Linked DNA regions of Tribolium castaneum. The protein of the gene in region 1 purifies or fractionates together with the protein of each later gene. This does not show direct contact. Links are inferred from orthologs where the notes say so. Each region holds a gene or a part of one and is shown on either strand. Other genes may lie near its edges.

Evidence for each region.
Region 2: the proteins of Cip4 (region 1) and cdc42 homolog purify together in Drosophila melanogaster (affinity purification with western blotting; 4 studies listed by BioGRID). This does not show direct contact. The link is inferred for Tribolium castaneum from reciprocal best matches to the Drosophila melanogaster genes Cip4 and Cdc42.

The regions. Positions count from the first base shown.
Region 1 is NC_087400.1:8,760,006-8,767,395, forward strand, and holds part of Cip4 (cdc42-interacting protein 4 homolog), read left to right. Parts: intron 1-2,801; coding exon 2,802-3,084; intron 3,085-7,390.
Region 2 is NC_087398.1:3,191,560-3,199,265, forward strand, and holds cdc42 homolog, read left to right. Parts: upstream 1-3,426; 5' UTR 3,427-3,718; intron 3,719-3,982; 5' UTR 3,983-3,994; coding exon 3,995-4,059; intron 4,060-4,107; coding exon 4,108-4,330; intron 4,331-4,947; coding exon 4,948-5,235; 3' UTR 5,236-5,562; downstream 5,563-7,706. Other genes in the region: mnd (Y+L amino acid transporter 2), read left to right, coding at 1,910-2,399, 2,455-2,779, 2,832-3,227; protein FAM76A, read right to left, coding at 5,881-6,117, 6,166-6,409, 6,455-6,591, 6,645-6,923, 6,978-7,061. UniProt on the Drosophila melanogaster protein: Regulates mbt kinase activity and is also required to recruit mbt to adherens junctions. Together with mbt and Frl, regulates photoreceptor cell morphogenesis. Together with Frl, has a role in the neuronal development of mushroom bodies.

The DNA.
Region 1 (7,390 bases):
TAGATTCAAAACATTTTTTGTTATCACAACCCTATTACAAATATGTCGAATTGTGTTGGGAGTTTGTTAGGGTGGTAATTTGAAAAACGTTTGTTTTCTAATTCCCCATCGAATAGTATAAAAAGTGGTATAAAAGTAAACAGGCGTTGTCTTTATTTAACATGAACCTAGTAATAAAGTCATCAAAAAAGGACTGTTTCTACTTTTTATTAATTTTTAAAACTAGAGGTGTTACGTATGAAACCGATTTTTTTTGGTTTTTATTTTTTGTTTTGAAAAAAATACTTAAGGGACTTAGCTAGAAGAAAAAACTTAGTTATTTCAAAACTATAAAAACGCCAACGTCGCAATTAACCAAATTATTTTCTTTAATAAAATTGATGAAATTGTAAAATAGTTATTAACGGTTAGATCTCTGATTGAAAGTGTAAATTACATTAGATATTATTTTTTTGAAGTGCATGAATGATTTATAACAGCTAATTTAGAGAGAAAATGCAACGTGTTTTTATAGTTTGGAAACAGCTAATAACAAGCTAAGAAGCTATTAAAAATATTTATTATTTTGACATAATACTTTTTTGGGACACTCTGTACAATCGAGTATTTTTCTAAAATACGTCTCAGAGTATAAATAATGTCTACAAAATATTAGAAATACAACTTTACTAATAACAGTAATAACTGAGCTACAGAAGATGAGAGCTGTGCTGGACCATCCTGTATACACTTACAGTATTTGGTAATCCGAAGGCAATCATTGCAATTTATTAATGACGGGCTTTTTTGTAACTTATAAAGATATCATCGAAATAATAACGATTTTTGTTATAGAGGCAATTTTGTATCTGATTAACATTATTGATCGAATAATAACGAGGACGTTATTGCTTCAATCGCTAAAATAACGTTAGGCTTTCAATGCACAGATAACATAACGATTTGTCACCATCTATCGCAGAACTTTAAAAATTTGCCATCAAGTCCAACACTCTTGCAGTTATATCACAATAAAAAATGAAATAAAAAACGATAAGATGTTTTATTTAAAAAAAAAATCAGAAGTCTCAATCACATTGTTTAATAATAATAATAATAATAACAATAATAATAATAATAAATTTTTATATGTACTAATGTTATATAGAGTGTCTCAGCTAAAACTTTCGAGCTTAATATTTCAGTTATTTGTTAACGGATTGTTATAAAATTTAGAATGCACATATTTTAGGAGGTGGTCTTTCAATTAGGGGCAAAAAATGACTTCAAGTTAAAAAATGAAATTTTAAAACACATTTCTTTTATTTAAAATTAAGCCAAATTACCGTTGGATCATTAAAACCCGAAAAATAAATGTCCACACAAAAAATTAACCAAATCGCTCGCCTGATCCAAGAAAAAAATTAAATTTTGTTGTTGAAAACTTAATCCAAATTTTGATAGTAATTTGGACAGTCACCTTTTGAAACAATTTATGAAGCATTTCTATGCGGCATTTTGTGTACCACTGAAAAAAACTATCAAAAGTATGCGCTGTCAGAAAAGTAAAATTGTTTTAATTTGGTGAAATTATTTTAAAAACCAACAACAGTGGCTGAAATTTCTGTGTTGTTGAAAAAGGAATCAATGTTCGCTATGGAAAGTGTCGTTGGACTTTTTGTGAAATGTTATGTATGAAATTTAAAGTTCAAAGAATCGTCAATAATTTGAAGACACAAGAAGCGTACTTAAACTAGAGTCCTCGAGTGAGGACAAAACACGTCACTGGAAACGAAGCAATAGTTGGGGCTGTAACTCAAGCTTTTAAAGAGAATACAATCAGCAGTGTACGAAACATTTCCAAAGTCCTGAATGTTCAAGTGTCTAGAATTTTTCAGTTGTTGTTCAGTCTTTTAGTTCTTTTTGAAAGAATTAAAGCATCCAGTACCAAAAGTAAGTCAAAAATATTGTTTTTTAACTTTGTATGGGCGAGAGGTAATTGTGAAATGTCCCTTGCGTGACAGTTACGTTTCTGCGAGTAGGATTGACCAAAATTCAATGGTAGTGCTCATTTGTCTCATAGAGATCTACGATTTTGCATCTGTACCCACGTTTAACAGTTTGTTTCTCATTTTTCTCGCGTAACAGACGTCTTCCACGAACGAGTTTTTTCTGACAGGATTTTTCACTGACGATAATTTTTTTAATATAAGTCTTAAAAGGCTTAACATTTTAAAAAGGCATGTAAAAATTACGTTTTTAAGACTCGAGTTGTTGCATTAATTTGATTTTAATATTTATCTTCTAAAATATCTGTATTTTAAATTTCATAAAAATCCGTTGACAAATATCTGAGATATCAGGATCGAAAGTCTTAGGTAAGACACCTTGTATATGCTGTTTCAAAACTATAATTTAAAAACGTCAACGTCGCATTATTTTCTTTAACAAGATTGATGAAATTGTAAAATAGTTGTTAACGGTTAGATCTCTGATTGAAAGTGCAAATTACATTAGATATTATTTTTTTGATGTGAATGAATAATTTATAATAGCTAATTTTGAGAGAAAATGCGACGTTGGCGTTTTTATAGTTTTGAAACAGCTAATACACTACTATTACTGGGAAGTATAGTACATCTGCTGAAAATTCGCGTTCTTCTTCTGAACACATCACTTCTATCTAATTCAGGAACTCCTGACAGCCCTGAGACAATTATTATCCCAGTAAGTTGAAGAAGTCTGATAGATGTTCTAACATAGCGATTTTCGTTTAAATAACAATGTTAAAATAACTATCTAAGCAAAATAATTCGATTCAGGTCAGCTCAATGAGTGCAGCCACAGACTGGATAAGCTCCAAGGCGAATTGAAGAGGTATCAGAGTTATCTGGATGATGCTATCAAGGGAATCCAATCGGGTCAGAATAACTCTTTGACGAATTCGCCTCGATTGGTGAATGGGTCGAGACATCACCGAAATTCGGGAGGAAGTGCTGCCGAAGAGGAATCACTCAGCAGGTCTGCAAGTGACAGTAGCGTCACTAACCCTACTATCAATCATAATAAGCAGTCCGCACCGGGCACGCCTCAGCTTAATCATGGGTGGGTGTTGGTTAATAATCTGTATATAAGATAATATGCTTCAGCTTTTCTGCATTTATTTTACGAAATTAAACCCAGAAATTTTTAAATCTTGGCAAATTCACGTTGTATTGCGCAAAATTTGCAAGTTATATTCGAGCTACAAATAATGCGTCCGAGGCTAAGCCGAGGGATGCACTACTTTACAATATGTAACACGCAACTTTTGTTATTGCTTTTGCTTTTTTTTACGAGAACTTGTTTATAATGCAACTTTGCAATGATAAATCGATCAAATCTGTGATATTTGATTTTCCTTTTGTAGCAAGAACTTTGGTTGTTGTTAAAAGTAAAAAGTGTTGCTCCTGCAATGAAAATAAATGTTTGTTTCACAATATTTGCAAAACAAAGTATCTTAATATCTACGACTTATTTTTCTATAAATATATCTTGATGATGAAAAATGATAATAGAATTGCACACAATGAAATGTTTATTCCAAGCATGTCATATACAATTTCACGTCATTTTGTATATATTTTAACGAGAACTTCACTTTAGGAAATTAACAAAAAAAATCGCTCAATCAGTTACGATAATTAAGCCATTAGAACTCAAAATGGGGCCTATTTCATGTTTGTTATTTGTTATAAGACAAATCTTGTTAAGATGATTTTTTTTTATTAATATATAGATTTGATGAGTAACTTGCATTGTACTATTATTAATTTGTCTCATGGTGCTTGATTTAATGTAAATAGTGTTGAATTTTTTGGGTTCTTACAGTTTTAACTAACTTCTTCATAATCAATTCTGTCTGTTTATCTTCACTAAGGCTGAAAATACACTAGAAAATATTAACTTGTGAAAAAAAAAACTTCTATGACATTTTTAAAAAATAACAATAACAAGTAATAAAATTGCATAGAAATTTCCCATACATGTTTGCTTTTAAATTTAACTGCGTAACACTATGTGTATGGGATAAAATAATAAAGCATTTTTTATGCTAAGTTTTTACTTGTTTAGCGAATTTTATTTTAATGTGTTACTCTTAAAGTAATTTTCATTTCAATTTTAGATATTTGTAACTGACTTTTAATATGTTGAAAACTCAAGTCTTTAATTTTTTTCATTTTGTATTTTTTAAACGAAATATATGAATATTTTTACTAAAGCTGTTAGAAAACTATGATATTTTATCATGCGATTACATAATAACTATTATTATTCAAATATTAGTTGTAACTTAGATGAATAAATGCATTTTAATAATAATAACTAATAGCTCAAATTTTTTAATTTTAAAAATTATTTATTTGATGCATATGTGTAAATAATTGCTTATTTTGTTCTTTGCTGTGTTTTCTGTCATTGATTAAAATTTTCTGTGGAAATAGTCAAAATGAGCTCACCATTGAGCAATGATTTAATTATTATCTTGCAGATTTTTCCAAAATTGCTACTAGTCATTGTAAAAGATTTTTCTCTAAACCAATAATTTATAACAGCTAATTTTAAGAAAAAATGCGACGTTGGCGTTTTTGTAGTTTCGAAACAACTAATATCTTATTCTAGTTGTTGTTCCTAAACAACAATTGTAAATATGCGACGCGTTGAAAAAATCTTAGAAAAAATCTCAGTTCAAATTTCTTAGAAGGAGACCCTCTCAGGAATTTGTATTCTTTATTTTCTAATCTCTAATCGCCTATGTTACTGCTAATAATTTAGGAATGTATGAAAGGTTTCTTAAACCCTTCAAGATAACGTGATAATTATCTTCTGAAAAGCCGATTTTATATCTGGAATGGGATCCACTTTCTACAGGGTGCTCAAAAACTGGCGCACCAACTCAGTGGTACGTTGTTGAGAAGCATGTGTAGATCACGGGAAAAATCTTGAAAAAATTCCTAGTCATATTTTAAAGAATCTGGAGCTACAAACTTATTTTATTAACTTCTTCAGTTTTCATTATTTTTTAATGCTTTTATGTTTCACACTAAGCAATCGTTCCCTAACACAACGATGAATAACTATTTTTAAATTTCCCATCAGACTTTGGCAGTTTTTTTAATTTAAAAAAATTAAAATTCATCCAAAAAATCAGAATGTGTAGATGTGCCAACACTGGGAATTATTTCCTAGGAAACCGTTTCAAAAATAATTTATTTTTATTGTTGCTCAAATTCTATTGCGATTATGACTGTTAGACAACGTGCCACATATTTAAATTTCGTTATTTGTGAATAACTTTAATGCAAAGAATTTTTTTACTATTTTTACCTTTATATGTAAGCAATTCTTTACCACACTCCATTGAGTTGGTGCGCCGGTTTTTGAGCACCCGGTATATTATTCGTTTACAAAATTTAACTTTTCGACTGTTGCCGAAAATTTAAAATGTTGATTCTACACACTATTGGAACTTAATTTTCAAATCTGACATCCAAATTTAACTCAGCCCGAGTTTGAGAAGCGATTTTACAAAGATAACAAACACTTTCGTTTGCTTTTTGGTGGAATAACTAAGACTGAATAAATGATACAAAAATTGCATTTCGGTTTGGAACAGGTTGAAAATACGAGTATACTCTTGGACTTTCTTGGATTTCAAAAACTCAAAAAAAAAAATCTGAAGCAACAGTTTCATTGTGAATTAGTGTTTACTGATGTTTTTTCTTTAATATCAAAATTATTAAAAACTATCTTAATTTATTATTATGTAATACTAATCTAATATTGTTCAGTAATCGAACAAATCCCCCTGAAAATGTGAAAGTATTTGTTTGCATTTTTGTAACTGAAGTTATCAGCCCCTTTTTATAAAGTCACAGCACTAAATATTTTCAGGATTTCATGTCTCAGAATAGCTAGCTACCTGGCGTTATAAATCAACATCGGCCATCTGATGTTGTTGTAATGTTGGTTGCATAGTTACAATTTCTTTTTTATGTAAATATGCAAAAAATACTTGATTTATAAATATAGTGGCTCAGAGGCGGAGTGAAGTTTTACAATGGTCAAATAATGAGATCACTCCTGACTAAATATTGTCAACCATTTTTGAGGAAAAGTGTTATAAAGTTTTAAAGAAATTAAGCGTTTTTCATTAAAATTAATCACTTTATGGAACAATTACTACCATAGCGGATTAAAGAATGTCGTTCTTTATATGCTACAGAGCAGATAATTTTTTCAAAGAGTAAAATACACTTATGACGTTTTAAATATTTGTAATTTGTGTACACGTTGGTGAGTAAAATAATACACAAAACCGTTTTTTTTACAATTGGATGATGTTCCTAGGTTTACTTATTACCTCACAGATCAGTTCTTATCTTGATTTAAAAAGTTCAAGTAGTATGAAAAAATATAGTATTACATGTAAGTCATATACAAGACCTATACAAAAAAATATTAAAAAACGTAGTATCATTTTTTAATGAAAAAATAAAATGGCTATGGTTTTTTCCTTTAATTTTTAAATGACACTAAAAAATTTTTTCAAATTTATGTATATTGTTGCTCAGGTCCGCAGAAAGTCACCATATTTTTCTCAAGCAATTTGAACTTACAGTTTTTTTAATAGAACAACAAATTAAATCGACTTTTTAACCTTTTTAAAGTTTTTAAACTCGGTTACAAATACTTAAAATGAATTACAAACTGACCTGTGAGATAGTGACTGAATTTAGGAACAACATATAATTGTAAAGAAAACATTTTGTTTAACACTTTTCTTAAAAATCCAATTTCAAATTTTACGTTCACGCGCTTGCTTGAACAGCTCGCTCCTCTTCGGAAGTTCTGAGTATAGTTCAACCTTAACTGTGTTTTAAAACATACCGTAATTCGTTACCGAATTGTTTTTTTTAATAAGATTGATAAAATTATATAATAGTTATCAATGATTAGATCTTTCATTGAAACTATAAATTCCATTAGCTATTTTTTTGAATAACTTATAATAGCAAATTTTGAGAGAATATGCGACGTTGCTTTTTTTATACCGGGTGCTCAAAAACCGGCTCACCAACTCAATGGTGTGTGGTAGAGAATTACTTACATACAAAGTTAAAAATAGTGAAAAAATTCTATGTATTAAAATTATTGATAAATAACGAATTGTAAATAAATGATATTTGGCAACGTTGTCTAACAGTCATGATCGCAATAGAATTTGATCAACAATTCGGAAATAAAATTAACTAGGCGCCCTCTGGTGATGACTTTTGAACTATGTCGAAAACAGTAAAGAAATTTTCGTAATGCCACATTTAACTGACATTTAATGAATTGTTCAACAATTTTGCGTGTATAGTGTTAA
Region 2 (7,706 bases), on another chromosome or scaffold:
AACGTACGCTTTATTCAGTAAACGAGAGGGAAAATAATAATGAAGAGAAAAAAGAAGGTAAAAAAAAATAAAGAAAATCAAATAAACATGAAAAATGTCACCACGTGTTTCGTTAACTAAAACAGTATCATCATTCATCAGGATATGGGAAGTGTCTTTGCTCAATTTACTTCCGTTTAGAAACACAAATAACCATCATTTTTCGAATTCTCTGTGGTTGTATTTTGACTATTTTCATAATTTAAAACAGGTTCAAAGGTACAAATGCTTTTTTAATAATAGGTCTTTATTTTTATCTCTTATATTTAAGTGAATGCTAGCATTAACTTTTAAATTGTTTTTTGTAAGTAAATGAGTTTGTGAGATATAGAAAAAAATTTACTTTTAGCAGCCAAATATTTTTTTTTTAATTTATAAATATTTTTTTCCTAAACAGTAGTCAGAATAATAATGAGGAGAATAAGGCTGAAAAAATAATTCAGACATACCAATACCAAAAATGCTTCATTTCTGTTTTAAATGTTGAAAGGAACAGTTCCATTTTAGATTTTTACAACAAATAAATCGTAAATCAAAATTTTTCCCAGCAAGATTTTTTCGGAGTTTTTAAGGAAAATATTTTCCTGAATGCTCTTAATACCACAAAAACATGATAACGTTATTGTTCTTTTCTTTTGTTTATTTACACTTATCTAATGACTGATGATTCACCTATTTATAGAATAATTCAATGGACTACATGCGCGTAATTCTGTAATCTTCATTTGTGTATAAATTACTGTATAGTGTCTCATTACCGTAATTTTCTAGATAAGACTTTAGTTCGTAGTTCCTCATGCCGCTACAAAGCTGATAAACACTATTCTAATGAATATAAAATTGTAAAATTCGTTTTTTCTTTATTCTAAGTCTCCTACAATAATATACCAAACTGGAGTATTTTGTAAATCGTTATTACATCACTTGTTCTCAAAAATTATGGCTCAAAACTTTTCGTTTGTTGTTTACCTACACTTATCTCTCTGATACGAGCAATAATTTAACTTATTTGTCGTTAACCCACCTCAAACCAATTTATTCTCGATTTTTTATTTAATAATAAGAAATGTTGGGCGAAATAATTTATTTTATTTGAAAGACATTTAAACCCACTGTAAGTGTGGAAATCACACCGTGGGAGTAATTTTCGCGCTATATCTCGGCTTAAAAATTGCAATGTAAACGTGTAGAGACCGTAAAAACGATTTGTATATCGTATAGGTAATATGTACACCATGTGTTTAGATATCTCTTTAACGATAAGGTGATATCAACAACACAATTATGCATAGCAGTTCGATGCACTTAATTTTCATTACCATGAAAAATAAAAAAGGTACAAGCCGTTACAATTAAATAACATTTGCGTTTTATTTGCGTAAGCATATTATTTTTTATGGAAGGAAAATTAAAATTGGTGTAACGGCCACTTATTCCACAACAATTCTCATCAATATTTCTTGAATTAGCTGTTATCGAAAAATAACGCTTTGTGAACAATTTCGTGTTTGTGTGTTTGGTTGTAATAAACTAATAAAGCACTGACAAGTGTCATCAACTCATCACACCGCCAAGGTCTTTGGCGTGGAATGGTTACGATCACTAAGAAAAAATTTAAAAAACTGCCCTTGAGAATAATTTTGATTCAGATGCGTTCCTTTTAATTTTTTCTATTAGAGGGTTCTAGGAACCACTGTGGTGATTGTGTCGATTCAAATAGCAATCCCAACAATAGAATAATCGTCTTTGAGTAAACCACATCTCTTTGTTAGACAAGTAGTTCTTTTCTTATTTGATTGTAAAAAGACACAAATTGACCTTCAAAATTTATTCGGCACTATAATTACATTTTATTTTTCTCAAATTCTAGGCACAATGATACCGAAATCGGGGGGCGACTACGCCTACATCAGCGAGGCTTTCGGGCCGTTGCCCGCCTTCCTCTACCTCTGGGTGGCCCTTTTCATCCTGGTCCCGACCGGAAACGCCATCACGGCCATAACCTTCGCCCAGTACATCCTCCAACCGCTTTGGGGCGCCTGTAACCCTCCGTACGAAGCCGTGCGATTACTGGCAGCCGCTGCCGTTTGTCTACTAACTCTGATTAATTGCTACAACGTCAAGTGGGTGACACGGGTCCAAGACATCTTCACCGCCACCAAAATCTTCGCCCTGTGCATTATCGTGGCAGCTGGAGCGTACTACTTATGCATTGGTCACGTCGAGCATTTCAGGGACCCCATGGAAGGGACCAACTGGCAGCCCGGGTACATTGCCTTGGCCTTTTATTCCGGCCTGTTCTCCTACTCGGGCTGGAATTACCTCAACTATGTTACCGAAGAACTGAAAGATCCCTACAAGTGGGTTTTATTATCCCTAACACAGCTATGTTTATTATCATTGTTTTTGTTCCAGGAACCTTCCTCGCGCAATTTGTATATCGATGCCAGTGGTCACCGTCATTTACGTTGTGACAAACCTTGCGTACTTTGTTGTCTTGAGCAGGGATGATATTCTGGCGTCAGATGCAGTTGCTGTTACTTTTGGTGATAAGTTACTGGGCGCGTTTTCGTTTTTCATTCCGTTTTTCGTGGCTTGTTCCACGTTTGGTTCGTTAAACGGTGCTATTTTTGCATCGTCACGCCTTTTCTTCGTGGGGGCTCGTGCTGGACACTTGCCACGAGCTATCGCACTCATTGATGTGAAAAGACTGACCCCTGTACCATCTCTAATTTTTATGGTAACCATAATTCCGTAATAAAACACTAATTTTACATTAATTGTATTTACAGTGCATCATTACGCTAGCCCTTGTAATGATTGAAGATGTGTACGTTCTTATTAACTACGTTTCGTTCGTTGAGGCCCTTTTTATCACGATAAGTGTGACGGGGCTGCTGTATATGAGGTGGAAGAGGCCCGATATGCACCGGCCGATTAAAATCAGTTTTATTCTTCCTGTAATATTTTTGTTAATTTGTGGCTTCCTTGTCATTTTTCCCTGTTATGTTAGTCCCCTGGAGGTAGGGGTAGGTTTAGGTTTCATTTTTTGCGGAATTCCTGTTTATTTAGTTACGATCGCTTGGAAGAATAAACCAGATTGGTTGAATAAAATTTTCAACGAGTTTAACAACGGCTGCGCCAAACTCTTCCTGTGTGTTACGGAATACGAAGACAAGGAGTCCTAAAGTTAGACATATGATATGTAAAAATGATCTAAATAGTATTAATTGTTTTCGAATGCTTTGACACAAGAAATATTTATTTGTATATTACTATTCATTAAACATGTTTTGTAAGATGTTTTTTTCCATAAATTAAATTCAAAAAAAGGACAGTTCCTCCAACCACACCGCGATAAAATCCCAATTGAACTAACCTAAATCGATGGTGGCGCTCTCAATGAGACAACTTTTATCAAAATTAAATAGAATCCTCTCGTAATCATCGACAATTTTTCCGTTTATTAAACTAGTTCAAAAATTCGGGTTCGGGAAGTCCTTTTCCGCCCCGTATTAATTTTTCCCAGTTTTTAACGTGACAGTTGACTTGTGCGCACTCTATGGTCATTCGTCAGTTGGTGTGATTTGTGGTGTTTTAGGATAAGCCCAACCCAAAAATTCTAGGAATATAAAAATAAAGGTTTATTGTACATTTATAGGACGTTCAAGCTGAATAGGTAATCCCCCTAATCTCGTTTTTACTAGCGTTAAAATAGCTTAGTGGTATCAACTGGTTGAAAAAATGACGCCAACAACTCAAAATGGCAGATCATTATGATTGATATCCTTATTCCTGGAACAATTCGGGCGTTTGTGTTAATTTGCTGCTTTTTGAACGCCGCTCGTGACTTAAAACCGTTCCTAGCCTCGTGGAGAGCGAAGGAACGCCATTGTCAATTCTCGGAAGTGTTCCGTGTCCTAATAATTAATTGTTGTTACAGCAAGGACGAAGAATGCAAACAATTAAATGTGTGGTGGTGGGTGACGGCGCAGTGGGTAAAACCTGCCTCCTGATAAGGTAACAGCTCCTGTTTGGTCTGTTTGAGGTGGTAATGGTTTGTTTCAGTTACACTACTAACAAATTCCCATCGGAATATGTGCCCACAGTCTTTGATAACTATGCGGTCACTGTCATGATAGGGGGCGAGCCCTACACATTGGGGCTGTTCGATACTGCAGGACAAGAAGATTACGATCGATTGCGACCTCTTAGTTATCCCCAGACTGACGTTTTCTTAGTGTGCTTTTCTGTAGTGAGTCCGTCCTCGTTTGAAAATGTTAAGGAAAAAGTAAGTCACTTGAGTATGAGCCTCTTGTAACTCAATCGAAGTCCCACGTGTTTCTGCCAGAGCCGGTTCTAAAGCACGTGCTTTTTAGAACTTAAATAAACCGGAAAAATATCCGTACTTTCAATCTAAAGTATGACAAACATATCACTGTATAAATCATAACTAAATAAATAAAAACAAGCGAACAGTAGTGAACAAATAGAATATAAAAAAACAAGTTTGTTAAGACAAGTTTTAAGGCAATTTTTGTAAAGCCCTGGGCTATTTTAAAAAATGTGTGCTACCATATAACTATAGGTCGTTATCCAACGAGCGTATGCGAGTGCATAGACACCCGAGAAAAAGGTAAAGTAAATTGTAAACAAAATTTGATGAAACAATCTCGTTTTGTTAACTGGAGAACCACTTCCTCTAACAACCACAAAGATAAGTTTAAATGGCTTTTTTCTCACACGTTTTTTCCACGATTCTCATTTTGCTATTTAAATTATCATCGTATCATTAGTTAAATATATGTTTTTGAAGTTATTTTTTTAATTAATAAACTGGGAAGTATTGGAGCACTGATGCTCGTTAGTTTTTCCAACGATGTTAAGAAATGCTCGCTTTGCTTTCAGTGGGTCCCCGAAATAACTCATCATTGTCAGAAGACGCCGTTCCTGTTAGTCGGAACGCAGGTCGATTTACGCGATGATGGTGCTACGATTGAAAAGTTGGCGAAAAACAAACAGAAGCCGATATCAGTGGAACAGGGAGAAAAGTTAGCTAAAGAATTAAAAGCGGTCAAATATGTCGAGTGTTCGGCTTTAACGCAAAAAGGTCTGAAAAATGTTTTCGATGAAGCTATTCTAGCCGCGTTGGAACCACCAGAACCAATTAAACGTAAAAAGTGTGTTATTTTGTAATCAGTAATTCAACCCGATTGGAATACTACAATTTTTATACTAGTTAAGGACAAAATTATATATTTATTTTATTTTTTTTTTGTTAACAGTTTAAATATTAAAAACAATTGTATGGTATATAACTTCTTCCATTTATTGAAGCTCAAACGACACTCGAGATCATTACTTCTTCTTATGTAAAGGCTTTTAGGAACAAGTCAGTATTACATCCAAATGGCTTCAAGGACTGCGAATTTACCACTTTCGTAACTTTTGTGTTTTTCTAACATTTTGTTATGTTCTTTCGGCAATAATTTGCATAACGTAAATAAATCATTTATTATATAAGACTGTTGTTTGGCTGAGAAACCTACCACCAGATTTTAATAAAACTAGTTTATTCAATTAATTAAGACTCACATGGTCGACATATACATAATAACAGACGTAAATTAAATATGTATGTGTGTGCACAAACGGATATATAGTGCGATTCCAAAGGGGCGTTTGAATTTACATTAGCCAATAAGGGCCGTTTACTGTCACCGACCCATAAAATATTAAAATTTCCGTAATAAATAACCGAAGAATAAAATTGACTATCAGCCGACCCCGAATCGTTAAACCGCACTATACATTTTTACGAACAGTTATTTAAAAAACCGTTTACTGAAGGCTGGGACTGTCGGTGCCACTGCCACTGTTGTTCGAATTTTCGGCCGCTGAAGCGCTAACAAACTTATTTTTCTTGGCGCTTTTCGACAAACTCGCCACCTCCTTCAAGAGACTGGTGATGCGCTTATTCAGCGCCTCAATCTTGTCGTCGCATTCCTTCTGGCAATTTTTCATCTTGGTTCTCAGTTCGGATTCCGTAGTGAAGTGCTTCGCCTTCAGTTCGGTTATCTAAAATCACACTACAGAAACAAGCCCCCACAAAATACGACCCCAAACCATTTTATCTTTATTCAGTAACTGAGTATCTTTCAAACTGAGCTGTTTTTGCAACGTGGCGATTTTTTCCTTCAACTGAGTCATTGCGACCACGTGGTCGGAACTGTTGGGGTCAAGTTCGGCCCGAATCAAGCCGGGGCTAGCGTTGTTGCGCGACACCTTCGTGGGTATGCCGTTGTCGTTGTCCAGTGCTGGGAGCTTTGTTACGTCGACGCGATGCGGCCGCTTGTTGTGACCGCGTAATCTGGGGGAAAAATTTATTTCGCGAATTTGCAACTCGAAGGCTTACTTTCCCTCCTTGTGCTTGGATTTGTGTAATTGTGATATTTTCATGTGGGCTCGCCTTTCGGCGTCGCCTTGCTTTGTTTTGGCTAGCGCTCGCTTGAAAGATAACGTGCACAGCCAACACAGAAGCTTTCCGTCGACCTAGGAAACACAATACCCAGTTTAATCTGAATTTTTTCAATTCGAAAATATACCTTTTTATCGTCGTCGTGGCGGTCGAACGCGCACTTCTGCTTGCACTGTTCGCAGTTGACTGGGGGTCCATACTTAATCTCGGAGTTAGTACATCTTTGACACTTATTTCCTATGAAAGCAGCGATAATATTGCAGTATTCGCAAGCGGTGGGCTTTCCATATGCCTTAACGTTCTGTTCACACTTTTTACAAATTGTGCTAGTGCTTCCCTTGGAAGTCTGTTGGAATTCCGAGCGGCAGTAGGTGCACTTCACGACAGGAAATGCCCCTCGACACTCCTAAAGGGGGAAAATGCCCACAATCAAATGACTTGACCCTCCAAACTGACTTACTTTACACAGTTGTTGTCCCGCGGACAACTCCTCGAACGGATGTCGGGAGAAACAACGAGAACAGGCAAACAATGGTGCACTCATTGTTGTGGTGGAAACCTAAAACACCTAGAGACAACGCGTTTCTGGTTGTTAGGAGTGGGTTACTTCAGGTTGTTACTAACCTTCCCATCAATGAGGTAACCCGATAAGATGACCCTTTGTTGGTTTCTTGGGCCTAATAACTGCGACTAGACAAAAATAATTCGGTTGATATCAAGTACATGTAAATGATTGACAAGTACAAACTCCACAAACATACCTTGGACAGGTTATTAACATTATTTCATTTTATTTGCGTTTGCCGCTTATTTAAGGAGAGAATCGGCTCGTAATCACAATTTCTATCACTGCACTTTGCACAAAAATACGAACAATACGCAAAAAATGGAAAATAATTTGCTACAAATGCCTGTCTGTGCTGCCACCCGTCCAATTCGAAGAAAATTTCTAGTGGCACCTGGTGAAATGTGTCGGTACCAGCAACAAGGCGCTACATTTGAATACAACTTTTGGTTTTGGTCGTTGTATGGTTTCTTCTGCACTACTTTGTAAATGATTGGTGATACTTTGTGGCTAAACACAAAAAAAGGAAATTAATTTGACACTCACAATCGTAATATGACGATTGTAAGGCAATGAACTATCTAAAAATTAACAAATAGGGAGAAAAAATCAAATAAAATTGCC